2 linked regions of the Bombyx mori genome follow. The main gene of each other region encodes a partner of the protein of the gene in region 2 in a complex. Links are inferred from orthologs where the notes say so. Each region holds a gene or a part of one and is shown on either strand. Other genes may lie near its edges.

The links. The genes of interacting proteins can lie anywhere in the genome.
Region 1: RNA-binding protein spenito (region 2) and N6-adenosine-methyltransferase non-catalytic subunit share a complex: the UniProt entries of both Drosophila melanogaster proteins name them as parts of the WMM complex. The link is inferred for Bombyx mori from reciprocal best matches to the Drosophila melanogaster genes nito and Mettl14.

What each region holds. Positions count from the first base shown.
Region 1 is NC_085109.1:13,098,811-13,109,723, reverse strand, and holds the end of N6-adenosine-methyltransferase non-catalytic subunit, read left to right. Parts: intron 1-4,965; coding exon 4,966-5,122; intron 5,123-5,912; coding exon 5,913-6,222; intron 6,223-6,768; coding exon 6,769-7,015; 3' UTR 7,016-8,756; downstream 8,757-10,913. UniProt on the Drosophila melanogaster protein: Non-catalytic component of the WMM complex, a complex that mediates N6-methyladenosine (m6A) methylation of mRNAs, a modification that plays a role in the efficiency of mRNA splicing and is required for sex determination.
Region 2 is NC_085125.1:10,169,632-10,181,287, reverse strand, and holds the start of RNA-binding protein spenito, read right to left. Parts: upstream 5,518-11,656; coding exon 3,271-5,517; 3' UTR 1-3,270. Other genes in the region: peroxisomal membrane protein 11B, read left to right, coding at 8,576-8,631, 8,723-8,838, 9,530-10,074. UniProt on the Drosophila melanogaster protein: RNA-binding protein that acts as an associated component of the WMM complex, a complex that mediates N6-methyladenosine (m6A) methylation of mRNAs. M6a modification plays a role in the efficiency of mRNA splicing and is required for sex determination.

The sequences.
Region 1 (10,913 bases), on a different chromosome or scaffold from region 2:
TAATTTTTTATTATTATTTATAGTATGTTAAATCTCTATTAATATGTTAATGTAATGCATGCTGTGATTACCTATAATTAGAGTTGCAGTTATCAATTGCTCTAAACATGTCAATGTTATTTTATGTCTTACTGTAAACCCTGTAGGTAATCCTTAAATAAATAAATTAATAAATAAACATTTCTACCACACGCAAAAACCAGGGAAAATAGTGCAGTCGCCCAAATTGTAGATATTGAATTTTGACCACTTTGATCGTAATCATCACAGTTTGATCCATGCTGTTGAATTAACAGCCATACTATCATAACCAGAAATGTTATCATTACCACCATCTATCTATGCTCAGATATTTTTGGTGTGAATTGTTTGGCTATCATTAATTTTTCATTTAACTTAGCACAATGCTTAGACAATTTGTCGGGAAGGATTCTGGCTGTAATGAATGAAGCTGTTGGGCTTAATGTAAAATGTTTACTCACTTATAGACATTGCTAATGTATAGGCCACAGCAAAGTTACTACTTACAGTGTTTTACAGAAAAGGGATTTGAACATAATCCTTATATATAATCTTCATACACAATGCTGTAGAAAACACAAAGGTGACTAGTGGTGTAGTGATAAAATGGTGATATAATTATGTATCGTCCAAATTACTTTGTGTACAGAATTTGTGCGGTAATAATATTTAATGCGGTAATATTTAACTCATCTTATTTGATTCACATTTTAGGTCAAATAAGTAAGAAAAGCTTTGATGAAAACCATCAGTGTGCTTAGTGCGAGTTTTGTAACGCTCTCGATAGCGAGCCAGTTTGCTCAAATTTGTATGCAATTGGAACAGCGCCCCTAGCGGCAAACGTACCCGGTGTTATTTTGTGAGTGCGAGTTCATATTAACGTTGTGATCTCGTAACCGAGTAATTTTATCGAAATTAGTACCACGAATGACATTTGTGCGAGTGCGTGTTACAAATTAGTGGGTTTTAACGTTTCGATCGAGTATTTCTTTAGTAGTTCTATTTTTCCAACTAATGAGGCAAAAGTATCATGCCATAAAGCCTAATCTTTTTTATGAAAAATGATAATATGGAGTGAAATGGATTTGATTAATTTGAAGCATTAATCAATTGGCATGGAATGAAATGAAATGAGATCAGATAATATGGGATAAAATATAATCTCTGCAAAATGCTGATTATATACTGAGATTTTTTTCAGTGGACCTTTTCGAAGACTTCGAGAAGCTACGTCCAGCGGTTTTGTTAATTTTTTTAAAATTTTTGCTCTTTCACAGATACTATACAGTTAATAAACCCACGTTACTTTGTTATTGCATAGATGGGTGGACGAGCTCCCGGCCCACCTAATCTTAAGTGGTTACCGGAGCCCATAGACATCTACAACGCAAATGCCGCCTCCCACCTTGAGATATTAGTTCTAAGGTCTCAGTATAGTTACAACGGTTGTCCCACCCTTCAAACCGAAACGCATTACTGCTTCACGGCAAAAATAGGCAGGGTGGTGATACTTACCCGTGCGGACTCACAAGACGTCCTACCACCAGTAATTACGCAAATTAATTTTGCGGGTTTGATTTTTATTACATGATGCTATTCCTTTACAGTGAAAGTCAATCGTAAACATTTGATAAGTACGTATTTCATTAGAAAAATTGATACCCGCCGGCGGGATTAGAACACCGGTGCATTGCAAGATACGAATACACCGGACGCCTTAACCTTTAGGCCAGGACGGTCTCAAAATTACACTTATACACGAAGAAATATTAAATACGCATAAACTAAGAAACATTAAATAGACAAAATAAAACAATTCACACAATTTAGCTCCTCGCGGTCCCTCCAAAATGTCTTTTCATCTTTTTTTCCTAGTTGTTCAATTGTAAATGAATAAATCAAAATCAAATCGAGTTTACGTTCTATACGGTGAAAAATGAAGAATTGTGAGTGTGAGTTGAGATATGCTACTCGCTTCGCAGGGCGTTTATTCACCGAGAGCAGCAATAATATTATTGCTCGTATATTGGTAGCACGTGATGTTTTGGCATTAGACCGTCTAAATGAAATACAACGCATTTTAACAGCATTTTAATGGGAACCAACTACTTTCAAAATTATTCGGGTAATGTCACGTGTTCAATACTATTTTGTACCTTTAGAATTAAAGTGGCTCAACCCAAAATTCTTAGTTTCTGGTAAACTTCAATATTGTAATACAATAATTGTATTTTTTTAGTTTTTCGGTTTAAACACTTTAAGGCATGCCATTTTATTTGAAAAAGACAGAAAGAGTACTTTGTCCTTTTCTAGACTAAAAGAGACTGTTTAATTTTATAAGCTGATAGAATAATATAGAAAAGAATAATAGGATACCCTCTAATCGTCACATTGGAAAAAGGTATGGCTTTATCATTTTATCATTTAAATTATTTTTTATTGCACTTATAAAACTAATTTAATTTACAATATGTAACTACATATATCTATAACTAATCCGTACTTGTCAAATTCCTCATAAATTGTCAATATTCTTAATAAAATTCTTATTAATAATATACAAGTGCAAATGTTGAGCTGCTTGCTAGAAATGATATAATAGTGTTTTGTTTTTTTGTTGTTTCCTTGTAGGCTGCCTGTAATAATCTGAATCTGTGTGAAAGGCAATAAATGATTTTATTATTATCTACTAATGGTAGTCCAGTGGTCGAAATTTGACCATAATTTATTTAAATTTTAAGTTTGAACATTATTATAGTTCTATTGTCACCTTTCTACTATCATCATTTCTATAATAATCATTGCTATATGTCGCCAAGGCTACATTATAGAAAAATAATATTAAAGACAAAAAATCTATTCTCAATTTGACCACAGATTGATAAATCAATAAACAAAAAAAGTATAAATGCATGTGTGTGTGTGTATGTCAAATACATGGTAATGTGTGTAAGGTTTTTTTATTCATTTAGTTTATTTTTTTATTGTTTATGCACAATTAAAAAAAAAAATATTAGCAATCTGCACTACTTCTCTATATTCTCTATAAGTGTGGGAAATTTCATACTTCTTCGTCCGCGCAATTTTCGTAAAAAGGAGTACAACATTTTTGCTTCACGTATTACCTACTTAAAATGTAGGTTCTTAATAATAATACATAAGTGTTTTGAAATATAAAACTAATCTTAAATTTTTTAGTTAAACCACTTCCATTCTAAGGGTGCAATTTCGTAAACAAACTTTGCCGTAATGGCGTAACCTTTAAAATACACGAAAACTGCCCAGCATAAAAATATTTTTTTAGTAACTTTAATAGAAGTATTAGAATTAGAAGTTTATTATAGAATTTATTTAATTGTAATTACATATTTAGACATACTTAACATAATTAATCTTGAAATAGGTAATTATTTCGGATTTTTTTAATTAAGAAATTATGTTTTACATAGGTTTAATCATTTACCCGTTGAACGTTTATAAAATGATTGTATTTACGGTAATAGTGTTGATGATCTTCATTAGGTAGCCTAAATATACTAAAATTATTACGAGCATCCATCCTTATTTATAAATGTGTAAAGAAGCAAAATGATTATTACATTGTTCAAATTTCTATATAATTTATAAATATAAATCTGTACGTATGTACCTGTAAATATGTATATGGCGCGCGCGTGTGTGTGTGTGTGTGTGCGCGTGTGTGTGTGCGCGTGTGTATGTGCGTGTGTGTATATATTTCTATAATAGATAGGTACACAGTGTGCAATTCATTTCGAAATTATTGTTGCCCATCTAATGGTTGTCTGGAAGAGATCACTCTTAGCGATAAGACCAAGAAAGAATGTTTCACAATATTTATTCATTTTGTGTACAATAAAGAATACTCTTTCACTGGTGGTAGGACCTCTTGGGAGTCCACACGGGTAGGTACCACCACCCCGCCTATTTCCGCCGTGAAGCAGTAATGCGTTTCGGTTCGAAGGGTGGGGTAGCCGTTGTAACTATACTGAGACCTTAGAACTTATATCTCGAGGTGGGTGGCGCATTTACGTTGTAGATGTCTATGGGCTCCAGTAACCACTTATCATCAGGTGGGCTGTGAGCTCGTCCATCCATCTAAGCAATAAAAAAAAAACAACTCTATCTCACTCTCTCTCTCTCATCAAACAACTCTTTAAAAAAAAGCAATGATTTAATAAGAATTAAATGAAAAAGCAAAGAATTAATATGTATTTACAGCTAGCTAGACGTCTATAAAATTTTCTAACCGAAAAAATATATGTGTATAAACCATTAGAATAGATAAAACCTTAAAAACAACATTATTATTAAAAACGAAAGAAAAAATCTTGATATTGTATTGGTTTCACGGCAAAAATTTTAGTGACTACTTAACTTGCTTGAAAGTGAAGAAATACTCTCAAAATCCATTAATTTGCAACTCGCACTCGCACATACAATAATCGAGAGGCTCACTTGGGTAAAGCTATTCGATACATGAGACAGCAACATTAACAAACCTTCTCTCTCCCACAAAATGAGATTCATAAGCTTACCACTAGGTGGCACTGATACAACCTCACACAAATTAAACATATCATTAACATCGACTGAGTAATTAAAAAAACTCGCACTAAGCACAGGTACATTACCCATTACCCGAATAATTATAAATATCGTTAGAAAGCTTGGCATTTCAATTAAACGCCTTAAAAAAACCCTTGCGTGCTACCAATATAAAAGAAAAAATTATCGCTTCTCAAGATGAATAAACGTCCTGCAAATCAAGTAACTCGCACTCAGAGCTCCGCACGTTTCACCGTGAAGAGCGTACACTCGATGCGAGTCATTCGATTCGATTTTTGAAACTCGCACTAAGCCTACAGTACTTAAAACAAAAAAAAAAACAATAGGAAATTAAAAAAATCAAAACCATTATTTCAGACTTTTGATCTAAAAGACATGGCTAACAAATTCGATGTAATTCTCGTGGAACCTCCTCTGGGCACTGGATGGAGATGGGAAGATGTCTTAGCTCTTGAGCTCCAGCAGATAGCACAGCCAAGATCTTTTGTATTCCTATGGTGTGGAAGCTCTGAAGGTATATTCTTCAAACCTAGAAAATTATTTGGTTGTGATTTGTATAACTAGTACATACTACACATTGAATACTGTATAAACTATTGTATGTATGTATGTATGTATGTATATATATGTATATTAATATTTGTATCTATGTGTGTATGTATATGTGTATGTATTTGTAACTCAATATAAATTTCATTGCACATATCACTATTTACTCTGCACCACCTTTGGTTGACTGGTAGAGTCAGAATGCCTTAGGCATTAGGTCCGCCAATGTAAATTTTACATGAAGTGTAATAAATAAATAAATAAATACATGCACATGGTGAAAACATAACTCACTTTTAATTTTACTTATTCATTTTACAAAAGTTATCCACATAAACTGTAATGAATTTGAAAGTATAACATTTTTAAAGTTTCTTAAAGATTTCTACAAGATAATTCACTCTTTGGGTGGGACATCAATTATTTCTCTGCCAAACAATGCACCAAACAGTGGTAAGGAGCGGCCAGGCTCTGCCCTTAGTATTACTGATCTCCACAAGTGATGGTGATCATACATCTCCAGTGTGCCGTACGCTTGTATACCTGCAAAGGCAATTAAAATTTGTAACATTATAATTTTTTTTTTATTGCCTTTGTAGGCAGAAGAGCATACGGCTCTGATGGTTATGACCTGATGGGTAGTGGTTACCGTCGCCCATAGACTTCAGCAATGCCAGGGGCAGAGACAAGCCGCTAAATGACTTTACTTTAATCTAAAAGATCAGTAATTCAGCTAATACCAAATCTTAATTCAGGTTTAGATATGGGCAGGGAATGCCTAAAGAAGTGGGGCTTTCGTCGTTGCGAAGACATCTGCTGGATCAAAACGAACATAAAGAATCCGGGGCATTCGAAAAACCTCGAGCACAACGCGGTCTTCCAGCGAACCAAGGAGCATTGTCTGATGGGCATCAAAGGCACTGTCCGGAGGTCGGTCGACGGAGACTTCATACACGCTAACGTGGATATCGACCTCATCATATCTGAAGACCCGGAGTTCGGCAGTACAGAGAAGCCTATTGAGATATTTCACATCATGGAACATTTCTGTTTGGGTCGAAGAAGGTAAATGTTGATCAGTATTACTTTAATATAAAATACTCATACATCAATAAGAGCTTAAATAGCATGTTCTTTGGTTTTCGCGTCACGTCAGCTCCGTCGTCTGCGACCACGAAAACTAAGGCATTTGAAACGTCGCTAATAATATGTATACTAACGACAACAAGTAATTTTAACTATTAATGACTATTAGTGACGTTGGAAAACATTTTGCATCAAATATGTAGCTCACATGTTTGTTTAGCCCACTGAGTATCTCGCCGGATATTCTCAGTGGGTCGCGTTTCCGATCCGGTGGTAGATTCTGCGAAGTACTGCTCTTGCTAGGGCCAGTGTTAGCAACACCCCCGGTTTGAGCCCCGTGAGCTCACCTACCTGCTAGGGTAACCCTGACATTATCAGCTGATTGCTGACGACGTGGCTGAGACGTGATTATAGGGTGATAATTATTAACAAGACACGACAGTTTGCAACCTGTCTGTTGTGCGACGACTCGACACAGACTGTCTAAGCTAAGCCCGCTACACATCTATATGTACACATTCTCAGGGTACACCTGTTCGGCAAGGACTCCACGATCCGTCCGGGCTGGGTGACGATCGGCCACGAGCTCACCAACTCCAACTTCAACGCGGAGCTGTACTCGTCGTACTTCGCCGAGGGCCGCGAGAGCACCGGCTGCACCGACAGGATCGAGGCCCTCAGGCCCAAGAGCCCCCCCAACACCAGCAAGGGCACCCGGGCCAGGGGCAGGGGCGGGTTTAGGGGCAGGGGGAGGGGCAGAGGGGCTATCTAACTAATCTAGATTGTGAATCGATTAAAACCTAGAGGTTTCACTTGTAATCTCGCATGTAAAACTTCCTACTCACACAGACATTAAGTAATAGAATGTTGAGAAAAACAACGGGTTTTAATAATGTTTTATATACAATACGATCACTCCATCAATCGTTTATATAAAATATTGGTTGGTGTTCCGTCCCGTAACAGCTTCTTCTACAATACATATTAGTCGACTATTATCAAAGCCGGCAATCTGACTTTTAGACAATTATTGGTAAATCAGAAAAACGAATTATTGACTTTGTATTCCATTGGCAGTCACAAAACTCTTCGGAACGACATCTTAGATAAATAACAGGTTAACTATTAACCTTTATTTAATGCAGGTTTTGAACCGTATTCTTTGAAGGAGACCATTTTATTCAAATCAATCTGTATTGACATATCAATAACATTTTTTTGTCCAAATGCACAGATTGCCACCTTTGATAATAGACGACTCATATACCTATTTATATAATTATTATTATTTTATTGTGAATAATTTCTTTTTTTTTCTGTGAGTACGTAATACGACACAATTTGATTTATATGCATTATTAAATTCTTATTTATTTTGTACTGGATCTGCGACATATTATTGTGTGGATCGGAATGCATCATTTCCCTGGGAAATGGTTCCTCGACACGACACTAGCGCCGCCACCTGCCTGTCTTTTAGACGTATAATCTGTGCTTTTAGTGCGGCAAAAAACTAAGCTTGCTACGCGAAGCTGCTGTCGCCGCGACGGCATGCATATAAATTTAAAATAGTGTGTAAAGGTTCCCCTTTCACAAAAAAAAGAAGAATTGCTGGAAATTAAGAATGGCTGGACTGATTCTGCAGGCAATACTCATCCTCGACCAAAACCCTCGGACGTGGTTGTGGGACGGTTTACGGTTAGTCGTCAGACCTAGGCCATGTCCTAATCAATTAGTATTTTAAATCACTAAATATAGTTCAATAATTGTAACTTTTTTCATGTCATATGTGTCTGTATTTAATCTCTAATGAGAGTTGTCCGATGAAATATTAGGAATGTTTAATCTGTAATGAGAGTTGTCCGGTGAAATATTGTGTTTATTATTGTGGCAACATCTTACGTATTGTTAGTCTGCCTTATTTATTGATTCGATAAAAATAAATCGCGGTTAATGCTATGTACCGGAGCACTGACGAACAACCTGAAGTTGACATCTTGTTTTTTTTTGTGAATTGATGCGCAAGTGTAATATTGTTATAAGAGCCTCTTCTACAGATATCGGATTAATAGATATCAGTTACTGGTCATGTAGGTATCTAATTCACAAATTTACCAACGATTTCGTTATGAGAAAAAATGTGAGGTTACTTGGATACCATTTCAAGCATGACATTGTAAACATTAAGTTAAATTGGACTCTTGAAAAATTCAGAGGGAAATAAAAAAATTAGAATTTTATAAAACTCATCATACCATGAATATAATAATGATTAATGTAAGATATGAGGAAATTAAAATCTGACAAGTTCGGGTGCTGTAGCTACCACCTTTTTGATACACAATAATATGTAAAATCAAATGTTCTTTAAAAGACATTTATTTCACATTTTTATTGTATCTGACATCCGTTTTATATTTCAAGACTTAGAAATTTATGAAAATATTCATCTAATGTAAACATTTACGTATTATTTTAAATAATAATGAAATAAAAAATAAATAATTTAATAATTGTTTTTTTTCATTATCTGCCTACGACAAACTCTTGATCCTCAAACTAGTAACTTCTTAACCTAGACTCCGTTAAAATTGTAATTAAAAAAGACAGAAGTTATCAGCGTGTAGTATTGCAAAGCGGCTTCCACTGTTTTAGATTAGAATTTAAACTGCTGTTTCGTTCCCGCGTCTTTGGTTTTTTTTAACACTAAACACGCCACAACGTCTCAAATGACTCATTTTGAACTTTTGCATTGAAATGCACGTATCATCATTAATGCTTTTGCACATTTGACTTCTAGACTTTTTCTTACCAATAATAATTAATCTAGTTATTGTTGGGACTTCCGTTTCCTTATTTCTTCCTCGATCTGCTATCCACGCCATCTGTTGACACTATAAAAAGAACTACGACTGTGAAAAACGGCGCGAAGTGTGTGAAAAAAAATCCTAAAAACATGGCGCCGGTGCAAAAACGATAAAATTGTGTTTTTTGTTTATCAATCAGCACATATAAGTCTCGCCAGTGAGAAAATAGAAAATTCCATCAACGAACTACGGAGTAAGTCCTAAAACTTATCCTTTTCTCAGTCCTAAACATAAATTCAAAACAGTTATTAATCTACTTTTTTCGTTTTGTTTTGTTTATTGCTATTTAATTACGTAGTAATACTTGTCGTTTACCGTCGTCGACCCGCTGTGGTAGAAATAGGTAAGTGTTGATATGATTAAGCGTTAAAACAATCCTCCAACCATATCCTATTAAACACTAGAGCTGATGTATTTTTAAAACTGTATAGAATTCACTATGAAAATAAAAGATATACCTATGATATTTTACACAAAGCTTCTACAAAATACCATATTCACAATAATAATGTATTTTTTCAGTACAAAACCGACCGGATAACACAGATTTTTGATAACCTGTAAAATAAATGCGATGTATTTACACCGATAGAAATCAATAAAATGTATTTTTAATAGTTTAACTTTATGTAGGTACACTTAATTTTGTACCTTAGTAGGTATTACGATTTTACAAAACACACTAATAGCTTTCGCTAATTTCATGTTCGTAAAATTTATTCTTGAATAAAAATTGATGTTGGGCAATTTTTTTCAGCCAATTCCATGCAGTCGCCTCTAAACATCTAAAGACACTGTTTTATTCTCTCGATTTATTAGAAAAGAATTTCGGGGGATGGACTCATTCTTGGTATTAGAAAATATATTCTAGATTTTATCAAAAGACCGTAGCTGAAATTAATTGACTGTATATACATAGACTAGTAATTCTGGTAAAAATAATAATTTCAACAATTTTGATTAAAAATTTTAGTAAGCTACATTTCTATTTCTCCTCTATTTCAATTTGCTTACCATCGACTGGATACTTTTAAAAAATTACTGTATATACGACAACTAAGCTTTTGCCCGCGACTTCGTTCGCATGGAATAGTTTTGGAGCCTTTGGGATAACGCAAAATTTTACCCGCGACTTAATTTACCTACGTAAAAGGTGAAAATATTTTTGAATAATAGTTAAGAGGAATTGTAAATAAAACAAACAAATTATATACATCAATATATTTTACATTGTTGTCTTTAAATCAACTCGACTATTCCGAAGTTCCTCAAAATATAAAAAAGACAAAACAAAAAATAAGACATATGAGATCTTTTACTTACTAATAAGAAAAATTTACATTTTATTAATTGCGGAACTAAGAACATCAGAATCTTATTATTCAATCTAAAAACATTATTGCGGAGAGGGCTTTACTGAAGTCGTGCGTTAATTCGTTAAAAATTAAATGCTACCAAAACCATCGATAAAAATGTTCATCGCATCATATTGGCAACATTAACTAGCACGTGCAACATCATATTTCATCAAAACAACACCAACAAAAAAATTATTTAAAAATATCGACAAATAGAGATGTGGCAACGTCAAGACATCAAGCGAACTATCGACTACTAAAGCCCTTTCGCGTATCGGATATTCAATTGACAGCAGTTTTTTTTCTTTTCTTTCAAATCTTCACTGAGCTTATAACATCGCACATTGATAATGTAATCCTTAATATATTACATAATTCACTTTGCTATCATTATACAAGGCATTTTTTTTTTCATACTCGCCGGGGACACAGAGCTTGTCAAAAG
Region 2 (11,656 bases):
TTCTCAAACGTTCTAGGTGCTAGGTACTATATCTTTCGATATTCGTTCGACTATTCGGCGATAGATAACGTTACTCTTACCGGCGTAACACTATTATCAATACCACCTTCTTGCCGATTTCGGCCATGGGGAATTTACACATTCCGATTTAATTCACTATACACTATACAATTGAGTCTTCGATGTCGTGTCTTGGTGTAACAACAGCATTCAGGTTGATAGCAAACTAGATATCAATCTATGGGCTCCCGTAGCCACTTAACACCAAATGGACAAATTTCTATGAAATAAATAAATGAAAGATATTTTTTTCTTAACATATTATCTGGTTTAATATTATTTATGGCATTAAATAAGTAGGACAACGGTTACTCTTATGACTGTCTAGTTTCCATCTACAGCTTTAGTTTGCGTTATAAAGTGTAATTACTTTCTATCCTCTTATCTTCTATTATGGGGTGGAGATCCATATTCAACAGTAGTGTGAAAAGTATCCTATTATTTCCCAGGGTTCAAACCATTTCATTATTGAATTTAATAAAAATTCGGTGGTTTGGTCGTGAAAACGTAACAGACTAAAACAGTCGTAGTTTCATTGTTTGTTTATTGCTTAGACGAGTGAACGAGCTCACTAGATGTTCAGTGATTACCGGAGCCCAGACATGAACAACGCAAATTCCCCATCCACCAGGACACATGTTCTAAGTGTCATTTCCATAAAAAAGGGTCGCACCACCAACCATCAAAGCAAGAATAAAAGATAGTTAATTACCTATTAAATTAAATAACGTTTAGGTATCTTTTACTAAAAATGTGAATATTCTAAGTCTTCTGTGTTGTAAGTACTTAGAGTTTTAAAAATCCGTCTCGATATTTTACACTGTGAAGTCAATTTTAGATTTTTTTTCATTTGATCCTCAATGACATGTCTGGATTATAGGTAAGGTAAGGTTAAGGATTTTAGGTACCGTACGAGTAGATACCAGTAAGTTCCCATTTTGATCCGAGCAAAAGGTCACTTGTTTCAAAAACCAGATTCATTTGACTAATATTTAGGAAACAGCTTCGAAAAAAAAACTTAAAAAAATATGTCAAAATTGTAAGACTAACATACAAATAGATCTTTGCTCAGATAATATCATTTTCAAGTTTAAATTAAGTAATAAGCTTACTAACACATTCAAAGTAAATTGGTTAAGTTTGAAAGTGCATATTTAAAAAAGACAAATTATCAGATCACTGCAGCTTGCAACTTTTTATTAAAACTTTCGCTTAGCTACAAAAGAAATGGGTACCTACATTAAGTAAATTATTTTATGTAATCCGAGAAGGGGAACGCGAAGTTGTGTGAATTGTTTTATTTTGTCTATTTAGTGTTTCTTTAAGTTTAAATATGAAATAGAGGTGGTTTATGAAATGTTTAGTATTCGTGAAAGTGCACAAATGTGGAAGAATGAAAACAAGCCGCTTGACGTAGCTTCTCGGGATCTTCCAAAAAGTCCTCTGAAAAAGTCTCAGTAAATATATACAGTAAATATATAAATATTGACCATTTTACTGAGATTTTATATCTCATTACATCTAATCCCATTTAATTTCATTTCATGTCAATTGATTGTTTCAAATTAATCAAATTCATTTCATTTCGCTCTGTATCATTTTTCATAAAAAAGAATACACAAAAGATTAGACCGTATAGTATGATGCCTTTGCCTTTACAGTTGGAAAAACAGAATTATTTAATGTCATTTTCATCTGTGACCCCATCCAATCCCAAAGGTCATATGATCTTAGTAAACAAAATAGTTTTCGGTTCAAAATGATAAAATAATTTGTGAAGTTAAGTCGAAAAGTACAAAATTTTCATAAAACTATACATTATTAAATCAAAAACATAAAACTTAAAATTCGTAATTTTGGCTTTAAAGCTATGTTTATGTAAGAAATGTTTTAAAATTGTTAAAAATATAAATCGTGATTTTTTTATGAAACTCAATTACTCAACTCAAAAACTCAACATTAAAAATCAATGGATAGAAACCAACTTCGACTGGACCACCCCAGTGTCGCTATCACTGATGGAAATTATCGTACACTTTCGTATTAAGTTAGTTATGATTGTGCCCATTAACCTCGTCAGAGTTCGAATCTAGAATTTTCTAGATAGACCCATGTTTTATGTTCAATAATATTCAAATGTAAAGAAACACAAAAATTCATGGACAACTGTTGTTGAATTTGAATCAAGATTTTAACTTTATTTGTACTCTTTAAGAAAAGGTTGAATTGTTTCTTTACATTTTTGATCTCAATTTCCATCTTTAATTTAGGTAATGCAATAGTAATTATAATGATAATGATATTATAATATTAATGATAATAGTAATTTAGGTAATTTTCCTTTTTTTTCGTATTAATGAATCACATTTATATTACATTATACCTTAGCTCATTTAGTGCATGGGATTTTTTATTTTTTATGTACCATACAACTGTAAGCATTAAAAAAATTCTATAAAGTTCAGAATTGTAAAGAACTATTTTTAAAGTACACACAAATTACCAATACAGTGCCTACTGTGTTGTGTGAAATATATCTACAGACTTACCCAGTTTCAGTTTTATATTATAATATGAAACACGTCAAATCACAAACAATACTGAGTCAACATTTATATCACCATATTTGTAAATTGTAGAAAATTTGTCTTCAATTGACTCTAAATTTGGTAATTTTACTGTTAAAACCACAACACACCACTGACTTGTTGTTCCACTGTACATCCTTTTATAATCATTTTTTTGCAAATTAATGGACATACCAAAACATAAATTCACAATACTTTTTTTTTTGGAACACCTTAACATCACAAAACCACTAATGGATCAACTGCACTGGATATGTCACTTAATCACAAGGTTTAAAAAAACAACTTTCAAAATTAAAATAATCTATTTGTTTTGTTCACACACTACACATCACCTAAATCATACACTGAATATTATACACTTAACTTTAAAAAAGTAAGATAAACTTCTTTTAGTCGGATATCTAGCTGAACTAGCTTCTATACTGTACATTTTCATCAAAGTTAATTCTGATCACTGTGAGAACACAGCACTGCACAAATATTTAAACTTGCACATCTTATGCACCTCACATCACACACATCACAAGAATATAAAGTAAAAAGTGTAGAACAAAAAACTTAAATTAAGAGTATATACCTACAAATAACAATACAATATACTAAAGCAGTGTTTGAATAATTAAGCAGTGCCACCTCGTACTACTACTATAACTAGGTGATCTTCCTTAAAACTCTCTTCAGTTAAATTGTGACACGTTCTTTTGAGAAGGTCAGTTGAAAATTCACATGGAGGGAAAGAATAAAGAACTCCAGTAGCTTCAGTCTCTTTGTTCAAAAGTGATATCACACCTGCTGCTTCTTTTTGTTTAAGATATGATACCAAATTCCTCATTGGTCGTGTTTGTATCGAAACATCTTCATTGGTGACTACAGCAGTAGAACCAGACACACCCACAAAAATGGCATGAGAGCTAGATGTGGCAATACGTTTTTGAACATCATCTAACTTAGGTTGATCCAAACGTAATCTTTGTGTGATTCTGAGCTGTTTTCTACCATCTTCATCTTTCATGAGACTATCAATAATTTCAGAGTCACCGTCTGTTAAATGCAACTTAGTAGGAAACAATGAATTTTTGAGAATCAGTGCTCCATGCCAAATTGTAGTTGCTTTACGAACTAATTCTGCCATTGTTCGTGACGAAGATAGCATCCCACTACTTCTACGCATTGATCCATCAGAGTCACTATCAGGTGATCTACGACGAGATCGTGAGCGTGACCTATCGACTCCAGGCTCCCTTGATCCAGAACGACGCAAGCGACTCTCATATTCTGAATCTAATGGAGCACGTCTCCATTCTTCGTCACGATAATCTCCTGTACCATGATAGACACCTCTGTAGGAGCCACGTCCACGGCCACGATGCCCACCTCTACCCCTATAAGTACCATAGCTATAACCATCCTCCCAAGAACTACCTTCATATCCCTCATATCCTTCAACAGGCCTACCATCTTCACCAACAGGTGCACTGTAAGGTTTAGGTCTATAGGGTCCACCTGTTCCAACGTCTGCGAAATCAATACGCAAACGTCGCTCCGGTCCCCCTAAAGGAAAGCCCCGCATTTCTTTGACAGCAGCTTGGGCTGCATCAATAGAGTCATATAAAATATAGGCATGAGGTTCACCCTTCACATATTCAATCTTTTTAATGGCACCAAACCTATCAAATTCTCTCTCTAACTGTGCTACTGAAGTCCATGGTCCCAGGCCACCCACCCAGACACGTGTTGTGGGTGTAGCTTTGCCATAACCTATTTTACATTGAAATTTGCCAATGTATTGGCCTGATAATTCAACTTTGGCTCTGTGTGCCATGTCCAAAGTTTGATAACGAACAAATGCAAAAGCATTTCCAGTACCTGGAGGAGGTCTTTTAATGTCAATGTCCTCTACTATACCATAGCGTCCAAAAATTCGGCGTAACTCTTCATCAGAAATGTTTATTTCTAAATTACCAGCGAAAAGAGTTCTTGTAGCTAATGGATCATCTTCAGGTTGAACATGGTGTAGGTAATTTGGAAATTTATCTTTTTTGTTCTCAATTTTCTCAAATGGAGGATGGTGAGGCCGGGGCATGTATGGACGTGGCATATAATGGGGATGTGGAGGGTGATGCATAGGTGGTCTGTGATGCATTGGAGGCCCATGAGGACCTGCCATGGGATACTCATGCATAGGAGGGCGGAAATCTCTATGGTGAGGTGGCACTGTAGGAGGGATACCATAGGCTCTCTCATCAGGAGGGGGACGACGTCTCTCTGGTACAGGAGACCAAGCGTATGAATAAGGGCGATCATAGTCAGGAGGAGTTATACTACGAGGCCTCGGTCTGTACTCAGAACGTACAGGTTCATAAACAGGATCAACAATAGCAACTTTATCATACAGTATTATCCTAGGCTTGGCATGTTTAGCGTCTCTCGCATCCTCTGCACTTCGGAAGCAGATGTAGGCTACTCTCTCATCCAACTCATGGGATATTTTTATACTAAAGTCACCATACTTCTTATATTCTCTATACAAAGTATCCTTGACAATCTCATCCGACGCTTTAGGGTGTAAAGCACTAACACATAGTACTTTGTAGTAGCTGCGGACAGATTCATCTCGAGCATCACGAGAACGCACGTAATCATCGCGATGAGGTGACACATATCGACCGCGCGGGCTAGGGGAGCGTACTCGACGTCGTACTCGTTCCGGGCTTCCACGCTCGTCAGAGCTATCGTCATACCTACCAATACTGCTGCGTGTCCGTTTTGATCGCGGCATACTATCACGCGACGAACTTCGCTTCATATTGCGAATTTTCACCGTAATTCGATCTCTATCTCTATCGCTACGCGGTAATCCAATCATGAAAGCTCACTTCGACGAACTACTATCTGAAATACACATCACAATATTACACGTCACTGTAAATTAGTTTTGGTCGATACAATAAAGTAACCCACTGATGCACTATTCTTACCCCAAACGAATTACAAACACTAATCACTCAGCAGATCACTGAAAACCTCAATCTTGGACGAACTAATTCGTATTATTAAGTAGACAATTATTTTAAAATAATCACGTTCACTTCAACTTTATTTAATGTAAATTTGAAATTAGAAGCGCTGATAAGCATCAAGAATATCGACCATTACATGGGAATCTCACAAAATGGCAGTTTGGCTGAGGGTTGCCAAATGTGATTTCTGAATTTCTTGTACATATTTCCCCAAATTATTTTGCCGTTTCTTCTGAGTTGTATTATGTACGATAGGTACGCTGTTTCGGTTCTGTAACCAGCTTTACGGGTAGCGGATTTTGTCCGATAAGTGTTTTTTGGGTCTTCATCGAGTTGATCTTAAAACCAACTTTGGCGCTTCCAACTATATATCGTCCAGTTTGGATTGCATGCAGACAACTTCATGATTAAAAAAACATTAGTCATCAGCATGGTCTAGACCATCCAATTCTTTGGACAACCCCCACATAACAAGTCACATCCATGCTACTGTCGAAATTGCTATGATTTAATTAACTAATTGTTGTAATATGGACTGCTAAACTGAATACTTAATAGAGAAAATTACTGATCTGTATCCCAAGAGAAGTAAAGCTACCTATGATCTGGACTTTTTGGCGGGAACGCGAGAAGTGAAGTTGTGTGCTTTGTTTTATTTAATAGTGTTTCTTAGGTTTGAATGTGTAATAACGTGGTTTATTAACTATTTAGTATCTGTGAAAGTGCACAAATGGGAAAATGAAACAAAGCCACTGAACGTAACTTCTCGGGATCTTCCAAAAAGTTCACTGAAAAAGTCTCAGCAAATGACCCCTATTTTACTGAGATTATACTTCATTCCATATCATCTTATCTCATTTCATTTCATTTCGTTTTCATTTCATGCCATGTATAATAATAATCAACTTCATTTCATTTCATAATATCATTTTTCATTAAAAAAGCTGTCATTAAAATTAAAAAAAGACATGACCAAAAAGTCTTAGTTACCAGATCATAAAATCACTTTAAAAAAATGCTACCAGTGTAGTACCGTAAAATGGGGCGATTAGGGACAAATTCCAACTTTATGAGCAATTTTATGGTAGTTGTTGATGTATATAATGCTATATCAGGATCAAAATGATTGAGTCTTGGGGGCATCTTTGTTGTCTAATTTAAAATTATGCAACTAGCATTCCAGTTTAAGCAAAAAATGCAAAAATAGGTCTAATCCCTATTTACCCGAAAATTGCGGTTAATTGGGACGAAATGAGAAATTTGCTAGGGTTGGCACTACTTTTATTTTTATATATAGTTTTAATTTATTTATTTATTTAGTTGCACCAACAAAGTGATCAATAAAAAAAATTGAAAAACTGACAAAAGTACATGGCAGACATCACCTCAATTATAGGTGCAATCGACAGTGCTGATATTTCTATCTGGGTTAAGAGATTAGGTGTGTCGGTTATTCCATGGATTAATCAGATGAATACCCCCACTCTGAACAAATATTAAATATTTTATTATGTATTACTTAGACATTTTTGTCCACCTTGAGATTTCATTGATCTTGTTACATGTCTCTGCAAAATCGACTTACTTATATTAAATTGCTTATCTATTTCAACTAAAGATTTATTCCCAATTTCGCTTCGATAAACCAGATTTTTACCAACAAATTTAAAAAATATTGTTATAACTACATAGACAACCCTACAAATCTGTACCTATTTATACTTAGGTCGTTTCCATTTCACGTATTCTCATCCCAATTGACCTCTTTTTCGTTGTTATTTGTACCTAAGACGTCCCCAATATCCCCAAAAACAACAGATTTTTACATGTATTTTTATTTAATCAAATACATTAAAACCAATAACAACTGAGACTTACCTTTAATATATATGCTGGTTCAAACACTAAATAACGTTTATAAATCATAGTCGTCTTCTATTATTATCAAATAAATAAAAGAGAGCAAAGTTTCTAGCACTAAAATAATTACCACCACAGGAAGTTAATTTGAAACGCGATTTTTTATAAGTTAGCAGCTATTATCATGCATATTCAGAGTTGTTTTGTGAACTTTCAACATTCTACTATTAAACTACAAAAAAATGGAAGATTTTGCAACGAATATAAAACTTATATTGAGCGTCGAAAGATTTTCCCGGTTTTTTCCCGATTCGCCTTTCAATCCCTAATCGCCCCATTTTACCGGTACTTTTTGGCGGGAACGCGAGGAGTGAAGTTGTGTGAATAGTTTTATTTTGTCTATTTAGTGTTTCTGCAGGTTTAAATGTGTAATAACGGTGGTTTATTAACTGTTTAATATCTGTGAAAGTGCACAAATGTGGGAAAGTGGAACAAAGCCGCTGGACGTAACTTGTCGGGATCCTCCAAAAAGTCCTCTGAAAAAATCTCACTAAATGACCATCATTTTACTGAGATTGTAATTCATCTCTTATCATCTCATCTCATTTCATTTAATTTCATCCCAGTTGATTAATGTCTCAAATTAATCCTCTTCGTTTCATTTCATTTCACTCCATTTTATCATTTTTCATAAAAATAAGAATTTATTAAATTAAAATAAGAAACGACCTAAAAGTCTTAGTTACCGGGTCATAAAATCCCTTAAAAAAGCTACCAGTGTATGTAGATAAACATTCTATTTTTTTGCTAAGTAAGTAAGACTGTAAGTAAGTTGTAAGACTTAAGTAATCTTAAAGGCATATGCCATTTATATTAAGTAATGAAAACGCAACTCTATGTTACAGTTTCCAAAAAACGATCCACATTAACATACGAGCAAGTTACTACAAGTATGTACTAAGAACGCTCTTGGCGTAGCGTTTACATTTTATTTGCGTTTCACTTGATTTGACCCTACTCCACAAAGTCCATGACGAAATCGCAATGGATATAATTATAAAAGTAAATAATCAATCCATTGGAAGAGACAAATTGGCAAGGTAAACTTCATAGACAGAAGAGGTTTATTTATACAAACTGGCTTTTATTAATCTCTACTCTACTAATAATAGATTTATTTGTCTTGTCTAGATTTATTCAATATATTAGCAAGCTTGTATGGCATCAATTGGAGACCAGGAATGCTAATAAATACTCCATAGATAGAATAAAAAATTTGGAAAATGCATTTAGTTCATTTAGAAAGAGTAAGTAAATACTATTTGTACCATTCGTAAGACTTACAATCCAACTACAAACGAACACTGGGATGTTATTATTTTATTTATTAGAGCATAATACAAAATACTATTGACCGGTAAACAATATTACACAATTCTTGGAACCTTAAAGAACAATTTGGGTACTTTAAATTTGAGAAATTGTTTTGAGTTGATCCGGTGATCTCCATGATACCATCATACCCCTACCAAACTCATTTCTACTTCTCGGAACAACTGTGTGCCCGCTTTCTAGAAAAATATATTTTATTAGGTCAAATCGATCTGGAATAAACTTTCCTATATGATGTTTAAGGACATGCTCTTCTTCAAATTTAGTTTGAAAAACATCACTGTAGGCATCCACTTGGCTGTGACCCTGGCATTGCTGATGTTCATGAGTGATGGTGTCTAATCACCATCAGTTCACCCTTGTGTCACTTACCTTAAAGTTATTAAAAAAAAATATGAAAATTTATTAAACCAAAGGGAAATGGGGTGACTGAAATCAGCACTGTTTGATGCATTCATTTTGAACAGCATTAGCTGAACCACCTCCTTTTGTCTTTTTCTTTTCTTTTATTTATCTACTTTTATTAGTCTTAAATCTGTGTGAAAGGCAATAAATGCTTTTATTATTATTATTAAATGTTAAAATGTGGATATAATAACTTTTCAGTTCTGAGGTTGGGCAGATGCATAGACGTTTGCTACATTGCTTTAGACAGCATGAGCATAGAAGATCCATTTTTAAGATTAACAATAACAGTTAGCAAGTTATCACATAGTTTATTTTTGTATGCAGACCACATAGTATGGTTGGCCAAAAGTGGATTTCTAAAAACAGACTCAGACACTTGGAATCAAACTGCAAATAAATTCTGGTTACTGTCTATTATTGCAAATTTAGCACGAGACTTTTATGAAATACTCCATTTGTTACAACTACACAATTCAAAATTTCTAAGGCCTTCTGATTTATTAAATCTATCAGTACATAAATTTGATCTAATGTCTACTTTGAAACACATTCATGTGTTATTACTTTGTCATAGAGATATATTTGTTGATACATTGAAGAATGCATGTGACTTGTTCATACCCTTAACAGCTCTTGGGTTTATAAAATTGAGTCCAAGTGCGATTGGCACTTTAGGTGCTATCTCTTCCATTGCTGCTTTGATAACTCTAGTTCAACCTATATCTAAATTGGTACCATCATAATGGCATAAAATAAGTGACAAATTACAGATTTAACTGTATTGTTTGTTAAATTTTTGAATGAACAAAATCAAGTCTTGTCACGATGTTTCAGTGAACATGAGAAATGCTATAAAATACAATATCATATATATGATTCATCATCATTCACGAATAAATTAGTTACATAATAATAATAATTTTAATGCACTGAGTGTTTACCATGAGTAGATACTCTGACATCCATTTGGCGAATTCTTTGATCAGTGATACACAACTTTTTTATTGCAGTACACTTAACTATTTCCAAATTTGCCATAATTCAAATATAATAAAGGTTTAAAAGTTGTATTCTGACTACTTTCTCAAATAGTGATAATAATTTTGAATGAAAAATAAAAAGTACAAAATAATATATGTATGGGGATTTATTCAAAGTTATTAATAGAAATTATTTTTGTTGAGGAATACATGATGCATACAGTGGATGAGAATCAGTTTTTAATTGTTGAAGTATATAAAGTTTTTTCATTCTCAATTTTGCAAGCAAAATTAAATGTGTAAAAAATATTTTTGCTGTCTTACAGTATACATATTTCCATGTAATAATTTTAATCATATATAAGGCTGTAGTGAGTGACTTTGTGAATACTGGTATTGGTGTAGGAAAATTATATTTTATTTTGTACATAAGGTACTAAAGGGATTTAAAAAATATATAAATTATTTACATTAAAGTTTTTGATTTTGTAATTTTCATTAATGTTGTATTCTACCTGAACGAGTACTGTTGAGTTAGGTAATGACTTCACTAGATTGATTTTGGTTCTGCAGCATACTTGATGCTAAGTTGTGGCTAGAGCCTGTATACCTACACTACAAGATCAAAAGCGCAAACCACCTGGAGATATGAATTTGGAGGCTCAATTGTATTCTATAGTAGCATACTTCACGCTCATGCATAACGGGTTCACGGCAAAAGCATGCAGAATGGTTGTACCTATCAGTGCCAGCTTACAATACGCTCCACCACTTGCAAATAATACAATAGAATCGTTGATTATCAATGAATAGCGTGTTTGTCCAAATTTTACTTGAAAGCTTATTCATAAGTTAAGTACTGAAAGTGCTGAAACCTGCTCGAGTGGGCTTACTATACGACCAATCTACTAGACATACATTTACAATTATAAATAAACATATGCTGGACTACCTAGCCAATCAGCATCCAATAAGCTAAATATGATTTATATTTTTTTATAGTAGAAGTAGTGTTTGTCGTATTTATCTCTCAAATCCAAAATTAAATCTATTGTGGCGGGTAGCCATCATACAACGCAAGATAATTGATAGATGCCTGAATCTCGCTTACGACATTTTCAAGATAAAGCGCATATATACAAGTTCCGAACAACAACATTCGGACCGTCGGTCTACCGAGCAATATCATCCGCTCGGTGGAAGATCTTCCCTAAACTATTATAAAAATGAATTGCTGTTCGTTAGTCTCGCTAAAACTCGAGAACGGCTGGACCGATTTGGCTAATTTTGGTATTGAATTATTTGTGGAAGTCCAGAGGAGGTTTAAAAGGTAGATAAATATGAA